Linked DNA regions of Neodiprion lecontei. The protein of the gene in region 1 interacts with the protein of each later gene in a pairwise test. Links are inferred from orthologs where the notes say so. Each region holds a gene or a part of one and is shown in the gene's direction. Other genes may lie near its edges.

Evidence for each region. The genes of interacting proteins can lie anywhere in the genome.
Region 2: the proteins of pumilio homolog 2 (region 1) and brain tumor protein interact in a two-hybrid assay, tested with the Drosophila melanogaster proteins (2 studies listed by BioGRID, with this or other methods). The link is inferred for Neodiprion lecontei from reciprocal best matches to the Drosophila melanogaster genes pum and brat.

Annotation. Positions count from the first base shown.
Region 1 is NC_060263.1:23,974,797-23,983,231, reverse strand, and holds the start of pumilio homolog 2, read left to right. Parts: upstream 1-3,851; 5' UTR 3,852-4,671; coding exon 4,672-4,755; intron 4,756-5,082; coding exon 5,083-5,304; intron 5,305-5,467; coding exon 5,468-5,596; intron 5,597-8,435. UniProt on the Drosophila melanogaster protein: Sequence-specific RNA-binding protein that acts as a post-transcriptional repressor by binding the 3'-UTR of mRNA targets.
Region 2 is NC_060265.1:8,528,520-8,536,881, forward strand, and holds the start of brain tumor protein, read left to right. Parts: upstream 1-3,355; 5' UTR 3,356-3,806; intron 3,807-8,362. UniProt on the Drosophila melanogaster protein: A NHL-domain family protein that functions as a translational repressor to inhibit cell proliferation.

The DNA of each region.
Region 1 (8,435 bases):
AGTGTGAGAATTTATCTGAAGAGTGGAATTAGACCTCTATGGCTCTCCGTTACAGAAAGAAAAGTGCAGTAGGAGGAATGCAAAAAAATATATTCATATATGCATAATATATGCATAATACACATGTATGAAAAAGCGGAATTAGGGTTTTGTAACAAACGATATAAAAAAAAATTTAATGAAAATAGAAGACCCGCGGTTATTTAAATTTCCCGAGTTGTCTATTCAGAAAATCTTTCTCCTATCGTACGGTTAGTTAACCTGAAATTTTTTTTGTACAGAATATTAAAACAACGTTCCATTTAAGAAATGAAAGCACGTTGCATTTTATATTTTATTATGTTACTGCATATTATTAAATTTTTGAATTTTTTTTTTCAATTGTGTAGAGTCTGTAATTGTTTTGTACGTACTTTATTTTCAATGCTTTCTTGTTGAGAACGCAAAATGTTTATCATATTAATTATCTCTCTACGCGTTTATTGTGTATACATTGTATTATAGTACGTTCATAGATTGGATGTCAGAGTTTTTATCCTCGTGCATGCTCGTTGTTGAGCAGCTAATAAAGTTGTTCAAAGGGAAAATTATATTTAAACGTACCTATCTTAATTTTTTTTTTTTTTTCTTATTCAAATTTTGATTACTTGTAATGAATTTACCTCCCGCTGTATATTAAAAGAAAAAAAAGGGAGTAGATATGACGTCGATTTACATACTACAAAAATTGATATCCTCACTGTAAATGTATTACTACCTACAGATTACCTGTTAACCATTAGGTAACTCTAAATCTGTAATGGATGGAGACGGACTCGTGCATCGTACAAGAAATCCCCTAGGTTATTATCACATGTAAACGCATATTTAATATTATTATTATTATTATTATTATTAATATTATTATATCTAAGATATTACCAGGATATTGTACTATTCTGGACCCAAATAAGAAGCTTGTAAAGTAGATGTTTCTGTATCGGTATGCTGAGTGCAATATGGCAAAATGATGAAACAAATCTGGATTACTATGTTTATAGAAAAGCTCACAAATACAAGTAAGAAGTGAATGACTAACCGTCGTGTTCCTCAATTAACGTATTACCTAAAACACATCTGTGCACATGAAGCAGAACCAATATCGAGAAAAAATTAGGGATGATTTACGCGAGATATTGACTGGAAAATTATGCATTGTCGTAAGCTCAAATTTAATATGCAATGGGTTGAATCACGAACGGAAATAGTACATTTTTCGTTTGCATTTCACTTCGATGCTCCTTTCGTACTTCAGCTGCTTTTTAAAAAGAATAGAAGAAAGTTTCTTTAATCAGTAAATTATCGAAATTCTATCTACAACTTGTTTACAAAAACATGTTTCACAGAGTGTATAGAGAAACATCATTTTTAGAAGCTTCTTACGGATGTACCCTAACGTAGAAACTTAGCGTATGTCCAAAGCCATAGTGCCTACACAACAATTATCAGACATTTCTCAGATTGTAAATACTTAACATACTTATATACCAAGATCGCTACAACAAAATGAGAGACAGAGAACCATAGCCAACTTCTTCATTGTGGTTATAATAAGATGTGTTAATATATATATATATATATATATACGTACAATATATGTGTATATATATATATATACACACACATATACATACATATATATGTATCAATTAGTTATTTTTAATCATTACAATAATTATTGAATTGAAAAAAATGTTAGTTTATATAGTTACTTATTATATTGCACTGTAATCAAATGCTATGGAGGGTAATACAGGACATTTTTGATGAGTCCGGTGCTAATATAGGAGACAAAAGTAGAGCAATGCCTCTCAAACGTTGGTGAGTGATACCATTTGCTCCGAAGGTGGTTAGAATTCAATTATTTCGCATCATATGGAGCTGAGCCATTGGGTAGCGATGGTCATTGTCTCTCCATATCCGTCAAAGTGTCAAGTATCACGCTATACTGCTACTTGCTGCTGTAACTCCAGCGCTATGGAAAGAATTATTATAGTTAAATTTTTTCCATATTTAGTAAGAGCATGCTTTTTTTATAAGTACTACAAAGCAACAGGTATTCTCAGACCTGGCCCTTGAATGACCGAGATGTTATCTACATCGATGAAATTAATTTCGAGAACTATAAAGCAACCAACATCGATCACACATTAAAACTGCAAACTAGTTTACAGTGTCGTGTTGCATCGATTTTCTGATTTAAGTCGTTAACAATCTGCAATATTGATTTCTTTCCTTCAGTGATATTTTGTAATGATATATATTTATATTATGCAGTCTGTTGAATAATTTTACCTAAGTATACATCGCGAAAAGGCTAGTTGAGTATGCCCGAAGACTGATAGGATTATCACTTTTTACAGTCAGACTTTCAATACGCTTGACGATATGGGAGAACTAATTTGCAATTCTGCATACTTTCATTTTCACCTGAAACCCAGCTACGAGGAAACGTCTAATTCACAATTGACGTTTTTTCATATACATCCATACCATTTATGGGTTGCCTGACATATCTATCATAAAAAAATACAATAAACAAAACGTTATGAATTGAAATGCACTGAATTATGTGGCTCAGCAAAATCAAATCTGCAAACGAAAAAAGTTATTCGTAGATTTTGAATAGTCGGAACCTCATCGAAATTTTTCAAATTAATGTTCTTTTAATAATGCCGATGTTTCATTTACGATTCGTCAAGAAAACTACATATTTGTAAACGATATTTTCAAAGGTCAAGTCGGTAAAATTTTCATGTCAAATTATAAGTTCAAATATCGGACATACCTGTAGATGCTTAGTTGATTAATTTTCAATTGAACATTTTGTTATTATTGAGTGTGAATTGCTAACGATACAAAGTGAAGAATAAGATAATGTAATAGGTGAAGGTAACGATTTTTGATTGACGATTCTTGCAGATGAACTTGATGTCAGCTGCCTAAATCATTTAACAGACTGCTTGAGGTTGGTTTGGGAAATAACCATAATACCAATACATCAAATTATTCCGATTGGCTGATGAGCCAAACGTTGGATCACCTTGGCTAAACCCTGCTGAACACCAGTACAGAAAGTTATGAAATATACCCTTGTGTAACGTGATGCAAAGAACGGAATGGATTATTTATTACTTCCCAATGTCTTCATCCTCGCCCATCACACAATCAGTTTCTCATTGTGAATACGCACAGGTAAATTGAAAGAAAACCTCAATTTTGAATATCATTAGACTAAAGCCCTGTAGTTTGCAAGGCTTGTTGCAAAGTCGCATTCCCCTCATTGTAGTGTTTCGACAACAGAAGTCAACAAACGGTAACATTAATTATACCTAAAATTAAGTAATCTCTGTGAAAGGAATTAGGAATGAAAGTGTGTCTGAATAAAAAATCTAAAAATTCGGTGTCTAGATTGTTAAGCAAGGCTATTACAAACCGTCATTTCTTGACGTGCAATTTTTATAAACTTGTTACTGCTGTCACGCTTGTGGCAAGGTATCAGAAAATAGAGAAATGTGGATATGGGTGCCAGAATTTTTATTCCATGATACTTCTGGGTCTAATTTTTACTGTCGGGAAAATGAAATTGTCTGTTGTTGTTAGTTTACTGGAATAAAACGCCATTTTTAATCCATCGTTCGGTTGACAAACTGGTTTACTGTGACGGATTTTGAAACTGAAAAAATTGTTTGATTTCAGATACAGTGCTCAGCGTTCACCTTGATCAAGTCTGTAAACCAGGTTGAAAGATGTGAATTGTTGTTTTTTTTTTTCTTTCCTGAACCGGTTTTGTACTCGAATGTAGCATACCGTGCAGGCTTTCGCACGAAGCCTGGTAAGTAAGAAATATCCAAGATTTCAACAGAGCGTAATGATGAATAATATTTCGTCTCGTTACCTAATGGTTTGTTTCGAAAAAAATTCAAACATCAATTTGATCGAGCAAAGAGTCTGTGTCGATTCGCGCGCAGTATTTGGATTGGATCCCGAAGTGCATTGCGACATGGCTGCGCGTGCGCAGTGGTAAAAAACAAAAATGTCGGCAGTTGGCAGCCGCCGTTTCTAGCCGAGAAGAGACCGACAGAAGATCTGGCTAAAATCGCCGTGCATCCTCGCACGCGAATGCCGTATCACGCGTGCCGAAACCTTCGGCGTTATTGTAAATACTTGTGAATAGTGTATCTAGTTTTAGTTTTACGATAAAGTCAGGGTGAATCGATAAAAGTAACCGTGGAAAATCTTGCTTGTGAGTTGCGGATTTCCGCGTATAGCGTCTATCCAACGAATCCCGGAACTGTTTTATCCGATCCCGCGATAATTATACCCAGATAATAATCCACAACCGTGTTTGTTCTACCCTGAAGACCTCGAGGGATGCTATAAATAGTGAATATAGTTTGTAAGAGTCAAACTCTCAAAAATCTCTTTGTGTTTTCGTGTTGTCAAAAATTCGTCCGGGCTGCCATTGCTGGTTGGTTGCCTGCTGCCGCTGTACCCCTCCGTGCTTAGAAATGTCATGCCAGCCGCGAAAATAATGCTTTTAAATTAAGTCATCGTTATCGCGGCCTATCTATACTCTATTTCGGTGTTGATAAGTGTGATTATTCAACGTGTAAAGTGTTTGACAAGACTATGAAGTGGCTACCCGGAGGCGGGGGCGAACCGGCACCCCCCATGCAGCTGCATCACCCCTCTGCCAACGGCCACATACCCACCGTTCGTACACACACACATTATAAATAATTATTAATTAAGATCCCCATAATTTTCCAAACACTTATGCGTCGCCGTTTCGCTACCTTTTCCCATCGCTCCTTCTTTTTCTCCGTCCAACTCTCCTTAAATCGTAATTCCTGAATGTCAATAACCCGGTAAATTTTTCATTTTTCTTCTTTCGCGTCTGTTTATATAGTTGTAAATAATATTTTGTACGCTTCAACAATATCGTTATGATATTACAGAAAATATTCCTAAGATGGCATTATTTTTAATATCTATTTCGTTTTTATACTGGCCATTTATTTTGTCGTTTTTATTGTCCAGGAGGCAGAACAATGCGCTCAAATTATGGCAGGTGGCGATGGGGTTCGTATACAATCTGGACAAATCGCCCAAATGGGTATCGGCAGAACTCAAGATGATGCGACCGTTGGTTACGTTTTCCAGAGACCAACAGAACAGGACTTCATTCCTCAGACTTCGAGCTATCAAACTAAGCAGCCAGCCAGGGCTTGGGCCCTTGCCGACGATGCCATTATCGATAATGTGAGAAATGAAACAAAAGTCTCTAAAAATTGTTCACAATAAAATGAATAATTTGCAATTTTTGTTGATGTGATTTTATTATTCAATTGAAGAAAAAAATATGATCGAGATGTAAATGAACTATTTCTATAATGTTCAGATTACATTTTTGAAATTTTTTCAGAACCATGACAAGTGGAAGTATCCAATGACTAAACTAGGCATACCTCAACAAAGCCAACCTCAGCAGCTTGGCTTGCAAACCATGAACAATGTTCATCTACCCTACGAGTTGCACACCATGCAACTGAAGGTTAACATTGTTTACAGTATATACATGATATAATATTATTAATACCATCGTGCAATTCTATTTTTTATCGCCAACAGTAACAGTAGCATTTGTCACGATTCATTATGTTTTTCAGCTATTTATAATTACAGTTTGAATTGTTATTGGGTTGAAACGTATGAAACCAGGAGGAATGAGACTGCCCTTTGACAGACAGTATAATATTGAAGATTCCATGATTTAAACCACATCATATACATGCCTTGAAAAACTTGATTAAAAAGTACAGAAAGTTTCAAAACGTACGTCAGACGTTTTTACTTGAACAGCCACAGACATAGATTCCTAGCAAAACCTTTTACGTAGCTACGTATGAAACAAAATTCATTACCGAAAAACAAGTAACTACTTTGAATCTGAACTTTTGGTTTCATACCCAACTGCTTCTTGAATTATCTTTTAAAATTGAAGTTTTTGATTTATCTTTTGCTGTGCAAGTAACTTTTTGATTTGAAGACTACATGCTATATTTTTTATTTTCGATGTTAAATTAAGACCCAGTACTTTGTTGCACAAATTATATTTCAATATTTTGAACATTTTTAATGGCTTGTCAATTTTGCGTGTATTTTACTAACATGTTTCTCCCTTTTGTCCTCAAGCACGTTAAAGAGAGTTCTGTAATAGTGCAAAACAGTATGTTTTACCATAAAACAGAATTCAACATCGATTTACGCATATTCGTAATGTCGCCTGTATAAGTTAGTTAGTGCTGAATCAATTCGAAGGCACACTTGATGTAACTCCCAAAATGTTGACAACATGTACTCTGTAGACGTAAATAATATTTAATAAGTAGTTTCTAAATAAACCTCTGAACAAGTCAATTCTTTTTTCTGCATAGCAAAGTTTCCATTGGTTAGCAGTTTGCTACTCGACTAACAAATATTCCAAAATATAATTAATGAGTATTCATTTTTCGGGAATACGTTTTACCTTTTAGACGAAGTACGATTTCCAGAATGGACCTCATTTTAAATTTATATGTACTTGAAAAATTCTTTTGGCCTATATTTCCTGCAAAAAACCTTTTGCCGTGTTTAATCAACGCTCTAGTTGAAGATCATAGTATTGAACAAATAGCGATATCATTAGCAATTAGAATAGCAGAAAACAGTAATTGTTGAATACTATTTATTTCTTTTTACTGAACTATATTCTTTTCTGTTCCTCAAACCCCTTGCACACTCACAATTTATTTTCTCATTAGTGTATCAAAGCCTCAAGTACGTTTTATTTAGATGCATTTCTTATTATTTTGCTGGCTTGTTTCTAACTTATACCTGTATCGAATCATGTGCTTGAAGTTCCAATCGACTTGATCGAAAATTCAATTTAGCGCGGATATTATTTTGCTAATAAATTTTTGATGAATGAATAAAATCCTGGTATCCGTATGTCAAGTGTATGAAATAGTTAAATTAACACAAAATTCTGCATCGATCTAATTATTTATTCCTCAACTCTTTTTGATGAAGTCTAATCAATCAAAACTTTAGGCACGTATCGAATAAATGTATTTCAACATAGATAATAACAATCATGAGTCGGCATGTTTAATGTTCTGATGATGAACTGATGTTCCGTGTAAGTGAAATGCAGAAAAACTTTGTAATGCAATTTAATATGTTGGTTTGCCACTGTTTTCAAATTAAATTCAAATTTGATGCCTCTCGTAATTGAATTCAGTCCGGAAAGATAGGAGTGATTGTTTAGTGTACGGATTAAATCTCCTTTGAAATTGAGTCTGAGTGTAAAGTTATGTATTTTGATTTCTACATGTTTTTAATATGAAAATTTGATGTGTAAGATTTAAGATTTGTAGCAAATTGATCGCAACTTCCTTGTTGAGAAATTTTTAAAGAATTATTTTTCCACCATTGAAGACCAAATGTAACAAAATAGAAAATCATATAGTTGAATTATTTGCGATAATCTCTAGTACGTGAAGCATCGATCTTCAATGCACTAACGAACAGTAGAAATGACTGAAAGTTATGTTTTTGCCATATGTTTGAAATTTTGATGGATCAACTAACTTTCATATTTTATAATTATGTAGTACTGTTGCAAATGAATCTGCGGTGTGTTTTTTTTTTTTTCTTTCTCTCATTCGATCACATCTAATATTTTTAAGAATTATTTTTGCATACACTACTAAAGAGAAATATATTTTCTTCGCAGAAATTGTAATTGTGAACATAATTCTATGTGCTGTTGCTTTTTACGCTTTTTTCTCCTGTCTATTTCAAATTGCTGCAAGTGACGAAGATTTCTCAAAAATTAACATCTTACTCTTGAATATGTTTCTAAATCTTCACATATCTATATCACACAGTATCCTGGTCTCACCTCTTGGATCGTTTTACATTCACACATTTTTACACTACACTTTGGAACGTGATGTATCTGAAGTCTTAATCGATCAATCGTCATTGAAAACTGAAGTCGTCACTAAAATATTAACAAGTTCCTGTTGAATTAACTATGTGCTTTAAGTTTAGAATGTTCATTTAAACGAAAAAATTATATCAAGCTTATATCAACCTAGTTATCAAAGCTTCTTTTACTGTGTACGACGGTCTTCTCAAAATTCAGTACAAATCGATGGATTTGTAATGTAATTGATGGAAAGAAATTGGCAAAAAAACGTCTCAACTCGAGGCTCATTATTGTATTAACTGATATTCGTTTCTTAGTAAATTTAGTATTAGGGACAACTTGACTTTTCAGACCAGCTTCATCGATCAAAACTGTAGATACTTAAAAACTTAAGACACTGTATTATTGACAATATTCG
Region 2 (8,362 bases), on another chromosome or scaffold:
TTACCTGTTCAACCGTTTAAAATAGCAGTATAAAAATCATTGAAATGTGAACTTCCCAATGGAAAAAGCTACTTGTAAAACCTGCGGAAATGAAAAAAAGGGCGGAAAATGTGTGTCCGGAGAAGTGAGTAAAACGAAAAGTAACGCAAGAATATAATATCCGTAAAAGCAGACTACCGAGTGATCGCTGTTCCATGGATCAAAGAAATAGCGGAAACCCAACAAACCGCAACCCGAAGAAGAAGTTTGTGCGGAGCGAACTTGTTGCACGGTGCTGATCGGCGAGCGCGGCGATCGATTTTGTAAAAAAAACTCGATCCACCGTTCTTCGCCATTTCCGGAAGGCCCGAAGTCCCTTACTCTCGAGCCATCCACAGGGTGGGAAAAACGGCGGCCGCCGGCAACAAAGTCCTTGGCCTCGCTCGGTCAGGTCGACCTGCCGGCCGCCACCTGCCACCCCTGGCTTGCCTGCGGTACGCGTCAATATTCGGCCCGCTCCGCCCCCCGCCCCCGGAAAGAGGGCCGAAGCATGCGCGCGCCTCCGCAGCTAAAGCTCCAAAAGTTTTCGGAGCGCTTCGGGAAGCTTCGCGACTCAGAGGCGGCTTTGGAAGCTTCGGAGCCCCGACTTACACCCTCGGAAGTGGAGTATCAGACATTTGGTTAACGGATTTTCGTGAAAGTTAAACAAATGCCGACAGATGATCACAGTAATTTTGAGTTTGAATGCATTCACGTGATATCTTAGATTTTAGTTATTCAATATTTTTCAAGTCGTTCAACACGATCGAAATCTTGAACCCTTAGTCAAGAAACCTAGACTTGAAGAACAGTTTTAGGAGACGAATAGAGAAATAAATGTTGATGGCAAATAATAGCACCTACATATGAACGTAATATCCTACAGAAATGGTGCCTTGGACGTGATGACCGAAAACCAGTCCATTTATCAGATTTTCGCAAGGGTTTTGCAATTTTCTTTGCCAGAAAATATATTAAAGCTTCTCACGTGCAGTTCTACCCATGAGGCTGTTCTTCACTCAGATTAAAATTTATTAAGATTATTAAAGTTTAATGAGTGAAATGACCTAATAACCGAAACCTGTTGTATATTTTTGACTGGAATAATAATTTTAATTGTCTTACCTTGAAGTATCGATTACAGGTTCTCATAGATTCATGTTTAAACAGATGTCTTATTATTTCAGAGGCACAATAAAGTATAAACTGCAACTTTTCGACAATCCGATGTATTGTGTATCTAGCAAAGGATTGAACTACACATCAGCAACTTCATATATCAGGCCAAAGAAACACCCCTAAAAGTTTCAAATCATTGATCCGGAGGTCTGATATTCCCCTTTTCAAACCAAAAAAGAAAAAATTCTTAAACCTCATACCGAATATGCCGGAGGAAATGTTGGGTTAATAGAAATCAGCGCAATTTTACTTGATAAAACAAATTACTGTTATTTCGCAATATTTCGTCGATCGGAAATATTTCTTTTTTGCGTGATACATAAATCCTACGTTAATCCAGGATGCCACTCAAAATCCTGAATAGTCCAGATTCGGGTTCTCGGTATAAATTAAGGTCAGCGTTCTGAAATCCCTGAAAATCCATCGGGGATTACATGATCATCCAAAATTTTCAAACACGCCACACAGCGATCGGAATCTAATCGATTCCTGGAATCGATTGACCTTTTTGCATTTTAATGATACGTCTCTGACTCTTTGATTCGGGGATCTGGCTCCTTTCATTTTGTCTTATTTTTTATTCAAGGTAGTATAATAATAACGATGTAAAATTCCGGTTCGATTTATTATTTATCTTCCATTCACATCGGATCTACGTTGATGGATTACACCGAACAAATTGGCATGGAAGATCTAAGCGCGAAGGTGACACCGAATAGACTAGATCCAACACCAAGAGAATTAGGAACCTGATGTGTAGGGCAATTAATCTCCATTCAAATCAAACACGAAAACACCGCGTGGAATAGGTTTATTTTTTTACCAAGGAAATTCGCTTGCTATATTATAGAACGCTTATTTTTCTTGCCTTTCAATTCCCTTGGAATATTTGAAAATTAGGCTATAGCCTATATTTTTGTCGAGAATGGTATGAAAAAATGAATGAACATTTTTCTGTCTCAATTCATCTATGTATCGTGACGTTAAATTTTTTGCACTCAACTAAAACAAGGGTTTTTCTTGTGTGGTTCTAAATAACCAAAGTAAACTAACCAAACCTACGCAGACGATTCGGCTTCAGGAAAATAGACACTAACAGGAGAAAAAGATATTGAATTTAATTTGAGTAAAATCAGAGTGAATGGAACTGGGATAACCGATTTCCGGTAAGAATCGGTATCGTCGTTGGTGCAAATATTTGTAAGAATGAAATAATTAATCGGGAAGCAAGCATATATGCATATTGTATAAGCAGATAAGACTTTAGAAGAAAATGGGATACTCATAACACGCCGCACTTCAGGTACAATTTGTAAGAAAAACGCGGATCATCGCAAACTTCTGGACCCACGGAATAAATGATTCGCTGGGTCAGTAAATTTGAGTGTTAACGTACGGTAACAGAAAGAATTTTACTTATCGAAGCAAAAAGTTTCACTGCAACATCAACCGTTTTGCAGCTAAGTTGAGTTTTAATGTAACAAACTCGTTAGTTTAATTTGCAAGGTTTCACCTGTTGCAACAAATTTTTTTTGCTGTGACTATATTAAATATCACTCATTTTCACCATTGTCAATGCTTACGCATCACTGGTAAAAAAATACCGCAGTCAGCGCAATTCCGAATACAAATATCTGAAAAATAGTTTTATCTTATGCAACAACAATGCCAAGAAATGTATTGCTTTAATTGAATTACCAATCGTTGCAAAAACACTTTTCCTGGAGTTATTTTATAATAAAACCACAAATTTTTCGGATTGCAAGTATAATTGGGCTGACTTCGAGCATTTTCGTATCAGAGCTGCGCAGGCTTTGATAACGGTAAAAATAAGCAGCTATTTACTCGGTCGGTAAAGACTGACTGCAGCATCCTCTTAACATAAAAATTTCCTGGTCCAGCCAACTATTTTTTGCCCAGCGTGCCAAACACGTTGTGTAACATAACGAGAAGAGACAAAAGGATGAAAAAGCATCCGAGTCGAAGGAAGAATGAAGAGGCTTGAAATCGCTGGAGCTTGAGCCGCGCGGCACGCGCCCAACTTCTAAAGCACTCCCCTGAGCTTGCAGCGACGCCGACGCCGGCAGCGTCGCCGGCGTCGTTGGCGTCAGTTGCGCGCTTCAGACACGCAGAACACGCGACTTGGCCAAGCCAGGTGAGCCAAAGAGACATATCGATAGACCTCGAGCGTAAAACGAAGATTGAAAGTGCTCGCAAGCACGGGTGAAGAAGGAGAACAAAAAAAAAAAAAAACTTCAAACGCTGCGAGAGTTTGCTTTTCGGTTCGCGGTTGTTGTTGTTGTTGTTGTTCTTGTTGTTGTTAGCTTTTCTTTTTTTTTCTTGTTCCTTTTGTCCGCTCTCCAACTTTCCTCATCCTCAATAGAGTGACGTGTGAAGTTCTCTCACGTGTTCAGACGGTGGTGGCTCTGTTAGTAGCGGAACGGAGCTTCTTCGTCGTCGTTGTGCCAAATTACAAAGGCTGCAAGCTATGGAATGACGTGATTGTGCGGTTGGCTGCATACCGAAAGCTCCTCACTCACGGCCACGGAAGAAAACAGCGCTGGCACAAAGAGACGCCTCCATGCTTCGTGACGGATGGCTGTTACGAGGTAAGCTCTAGTTCAAGGTCATTGCTCGTTCGCCGGGCCGCTGGTCGTTGCCTCGTCGAAACTTGGATCATTTTTAATCCCCATCGTGCGTATTAGTGAGAGAAGTGAGCCGTTGCCAATTATTATCGCCAAACAGCACGTACCGACTCCGGAATCGGTTTAGGCGTGCAGGCGCCGAGAAAATTCCCTCGATTTTACTGTTTGCTTTTAGGAATTTCATGCCGGGCATATTTCCAACGGTAAACAAAAAGCGTTCCGCAATTATATGTAATGCGATTTTCGGTGTAGCCAGAGACCTTGACTTTATAAACGTCGGTGGGTTCCATCACCGAAACAGCGTGGTATCCAATCTAGAGCTTGCGACTTGAGTACCGTTTAATAATTACGAAAGCTTACTTCTTTCAAAGGTCACAGATACGATTCGAGGCTGTTTATGTCATCTTTTTTATATATGTTATCAACAAAGGACAGAGATATATTCAAACTGTATACCAATTGTAAAATGTATCGACTATTCAGAAAACCGACCGAGAAATGTCAATTGATTCAACATCACTTTCGAGTGTTTCGATTGATGTTTGAAATTTTTCAAGTACCTTACTGTGAAATTGAATGATGCTTCTCGAATCAAAAAAAAAAAAAACTTGTTTCATGTTCACGAACGTTCTTCAAAAGTTCCAACAACTTTTCACCTTTGCACGGTCAATTTTTCATTTCACGTTAAAAACTCGAATCAAGAATCGAACCTTTTGTTTTTTATTTTAAATCGAGTTCGAAATAATCATATTCGCAGGTTACGATTATTTCTTCGAAGATACAAAAATATAGTGAGATTATAAAGAAAAGCTTAATATGTATCGATATTTCATTTCAAACTGCGACGAAACGACGATAAATCATTTTATTCAAAAGCCTTTCCTTTTTACAAATTAATTGTAACAGCTGTTTTGTATTTTCTAAGTAGCCAATTCAATATCACCGATTGTTCCGTAAGCATTGGTGAACGTTTTCGTGAGAATTCTATAACTTATTTTTACCCACCATTGTTACCATCAGTCTTCACATTTTAACTTTCAAAGAACCCGACCTTTCCTCTTTTCAATCCGCATTGTCGACTAGCTGTTCATTAAATTTGAACTTCAAAAGAAACGTCATGTTCCGTAGAACCCGAGCGTATCGATTCCGCGTACGCTATCGATTTGAGGAATATAATTACAGCCTCGGTTACGCGACGTGACAATGTGAGGCGTGCGAGACTTTTGAATGGCATTTCCACGCATGAAAATTACGCGCCGAATTCCGAGACGAATTTTACAGTCATGCTTTCGTAGTTTATTCCGATTCTATCGTTTTCATGTAATCAAGGAAATTACTCGGAGCTTTGAACATCCACCTTCACCTCACCGTATATTATACGTATATTATACATTCATATTCTCGGCGGAAGAAATTCGTTGGGGAAAAAAACACTCTGAACCACCTCTTAAAAGTTTTTCACTGTAGTCCAGAAAATTGGGGTTCAAACTTACTTACACAGACAGCCTAGAAAATTCATCCTCGAGACTTTTTACCGCGGGATTCAAATCTTGTTTCGCCCATTTCTGAAGACACGGCCGCGCGGAATCTGTATTCATATATATACATATATGTATATACGTATATATATATAAAAGAAAGGAAAATAACAAGAAAAGTTTTTGGAAGCCATTCGGAACCGAGACGAGGGCTTTGCTACGTCGCCATTATTATACCGAAGTTGTGGCTTCAAAGGGTATAATACACGGGAAATAGCGTGATTTCTTTTTCCCTCTATTCCATAATATCATGGCGAGAGTTAGAAACGGAAGTTGTCTGCAGCTATTGTTTCGCTTTCTCCCAACGATTTCGATTCTTACTTATTTTCCACTTTTTTCCCCTCGCCCGTGAAAATACGTTCAAAAACTTTTCTCATTTTCGTGTCTGGCGAGTCTCCAGCGACTTAAGGGTTCGATCACCTTTCACGCCTAAAATACCGTCCTACAGGCGAGATTCATTCGGGGTCAAGTCTTTCGGCTCCGTTCGACCGTGTCTCCGAGTCAAGTTCATTTCGAAGAGATTTATTGCGGTCAGAGACTTACGGGCCCTTCGTTGTACCTTCTGGAAAGATTCCACGGACACGCATACCGTTTCCATTGATTTAACGGTTCGTCGATCATTCTTCAGCGTGAACCAATTACCTAAGGAAAATGATTCAGGCGGTTGAAGAATGTGAAAATTTTCGAAAAAGCGTGACGGCTTGATTTCGTCTTCAATTTTTCCTGTCATTTGACCGCTTCTATTTTCGTTCGGTCCAAAAGTTTTCACGCATAATTCTCCAAAACAAAGGCTTAAAAAAACCCCACGCTTCATTGCATTACCCAACGAAGTTGAAAGCCCTTATCTTAATATCGTCTTCAGACAACCTTTTCATAGGAGCATTACGTGTACAACGCGAGAAAACCGATTGTGAGCCGCTTACTTCTACCTCTGTAAGAAGAAAGAAATTTTCAAGCTGACTAACACCGACAGAAAGTACCTCGACTGAAATTTTTATTCTTCTTTATTCGTCTGCCTGAGGATTCTTACTGTTCGGAAAATTCCTGGCTGTTCAACGAATGTTGCGTGAGAATCCCGATCCTCTTATATTTCAATATTGAGACTACCACTTATCGGCTCGGTTTGTCTTTAGAAATTGGAAAATCAATTGTCTGAGCTGGGAATTTCACTGTTTTAAACTCTCAAATACATAATTCCAGAGCAGCGTGACAATCGTAAATGTGAACCGGATTCTCGATCAGGACACCCCTTCTTTCAAGAAATAAAACAATATCCCTCTCATAGTAATGTAAATACACCTGAACAAAATATTGGCTAAAATGCCAATAATTTGAAAAAAAATGTACAATCAGACAAATCCAATACGATACAATTATTACTGTTTTTGGGTTCATTTGTCTGAAAATCAATCACATTAAACGTATAGTCACACAGTAGGCACCTGTAAATATTTTTTATTCGTGTTCACTATCATTGGTTTCCTAACTTTTGATTCAGACGGTGAGGACGATTAATCCTCAACCGACCATGACAATTAGAATATATCAGATAAGAAAACGTGATACCTTACACTGACAAATTGACCACTCGTAACGCTTCTTACACGATGCAACTTCATTGCCGTATCTGTGCGGTAAATTTATTCGTAAATCCCGCAGCCGGTATAATAATATAGATTGTCTTGATATTCAACCAATCAGAATGTGTGCGTATTTTTTTTTTTTTTTTTGCATCGAACAAGTTGAACGGATTCTCTTTTTAAACCTAACGAAAGTAACTACGTTACACACTTTGTAAATCCAAGGAGTGAAAAATGTCCAGCAACGTGTAAAATCCACATGAAACGGGGAAAATTTGAAGCAATTAAAATAGGTTATCAAGTAATCGGAGGTGCGTATTTATCGCGGATGAGGAAAGATCAAAGACAGCTTATTAACGGCTGTGTGGATAGCTATAAATACGGTTTCAAATGTGTCCCTAATAGCGGGGCGTGTATATGCGAGGAGTTACATTACCATAATCACCTGCACACAAGGTAATTTACAAGCCTTTGCTCAGGCCTCGCCTCGCCTTAACTTCATACCACCTCCTCCTCCATTCAACCCGGTATTAAATATTCTTTGTTCAAGCTATCAGGCTTTCTGGTTAGGAGATCGTCGGCTGCTACTTGTTTGGCTCATAAGAGGCGCCCGAAGACGGCGTCTTTCAAGATTATGCTAGATAATTCCTCTTTAATGTTTACACCGCGCTTTCGACCGAGCTTCGTACACACAGCATCCCGGACTGGGGTATGCGTGTAAGCCCTCAGGAACCACGTGTGTTGAGCACGGATTTTCGATAAACAGCTTTGTCTAGAAACGATGACCAATCGTACAAGCGACACTTAATTCTCTTACAAAACGTTCCTGTAATCGATGCTGATCCTTAATTTTCTCAATCATGAACACGGGACTCCGATAATTCCGATCATCACGAAGCCTGATCGTCATGCAACCTTACCGAAATATTTCTACGAGGGTATTACGGTGAAATAACTTACAAAGTATCACAAGATACCCTGGCTAAGGAATTAGACCCTTATTTTTGTACACTGGCTTTTTATCGACCAGTAACACGAAAGCTTTTGGTATGGATCAAGGTGCGTGGCGCATAAAGTCTGATCGAAAATCTATACAGAAGAGGATCTGATAGTGAAATTGATACTTCGAAAGGTAAACGTCAATTTACACTCGAATGGTGACATAATTTGAAATTATCAAAGAGATCACATTGTTTTACCGTACTTAAGATTTAGGAATACCAACAAGAATGTATACAAGTATGGACGGTTTGAAAAAAGTTCGTACACGAAAAAAAAGAATTTTTTTAAACAAAAACAATAGTTTTGCATCTGAAGTTAGGAACGAAATTGATGCAATATCGAGAGTGCCTTAAAGTCGTTAATGAAAGAGTTTCTTCAGTTTAATTTCACAGTTTAAAAA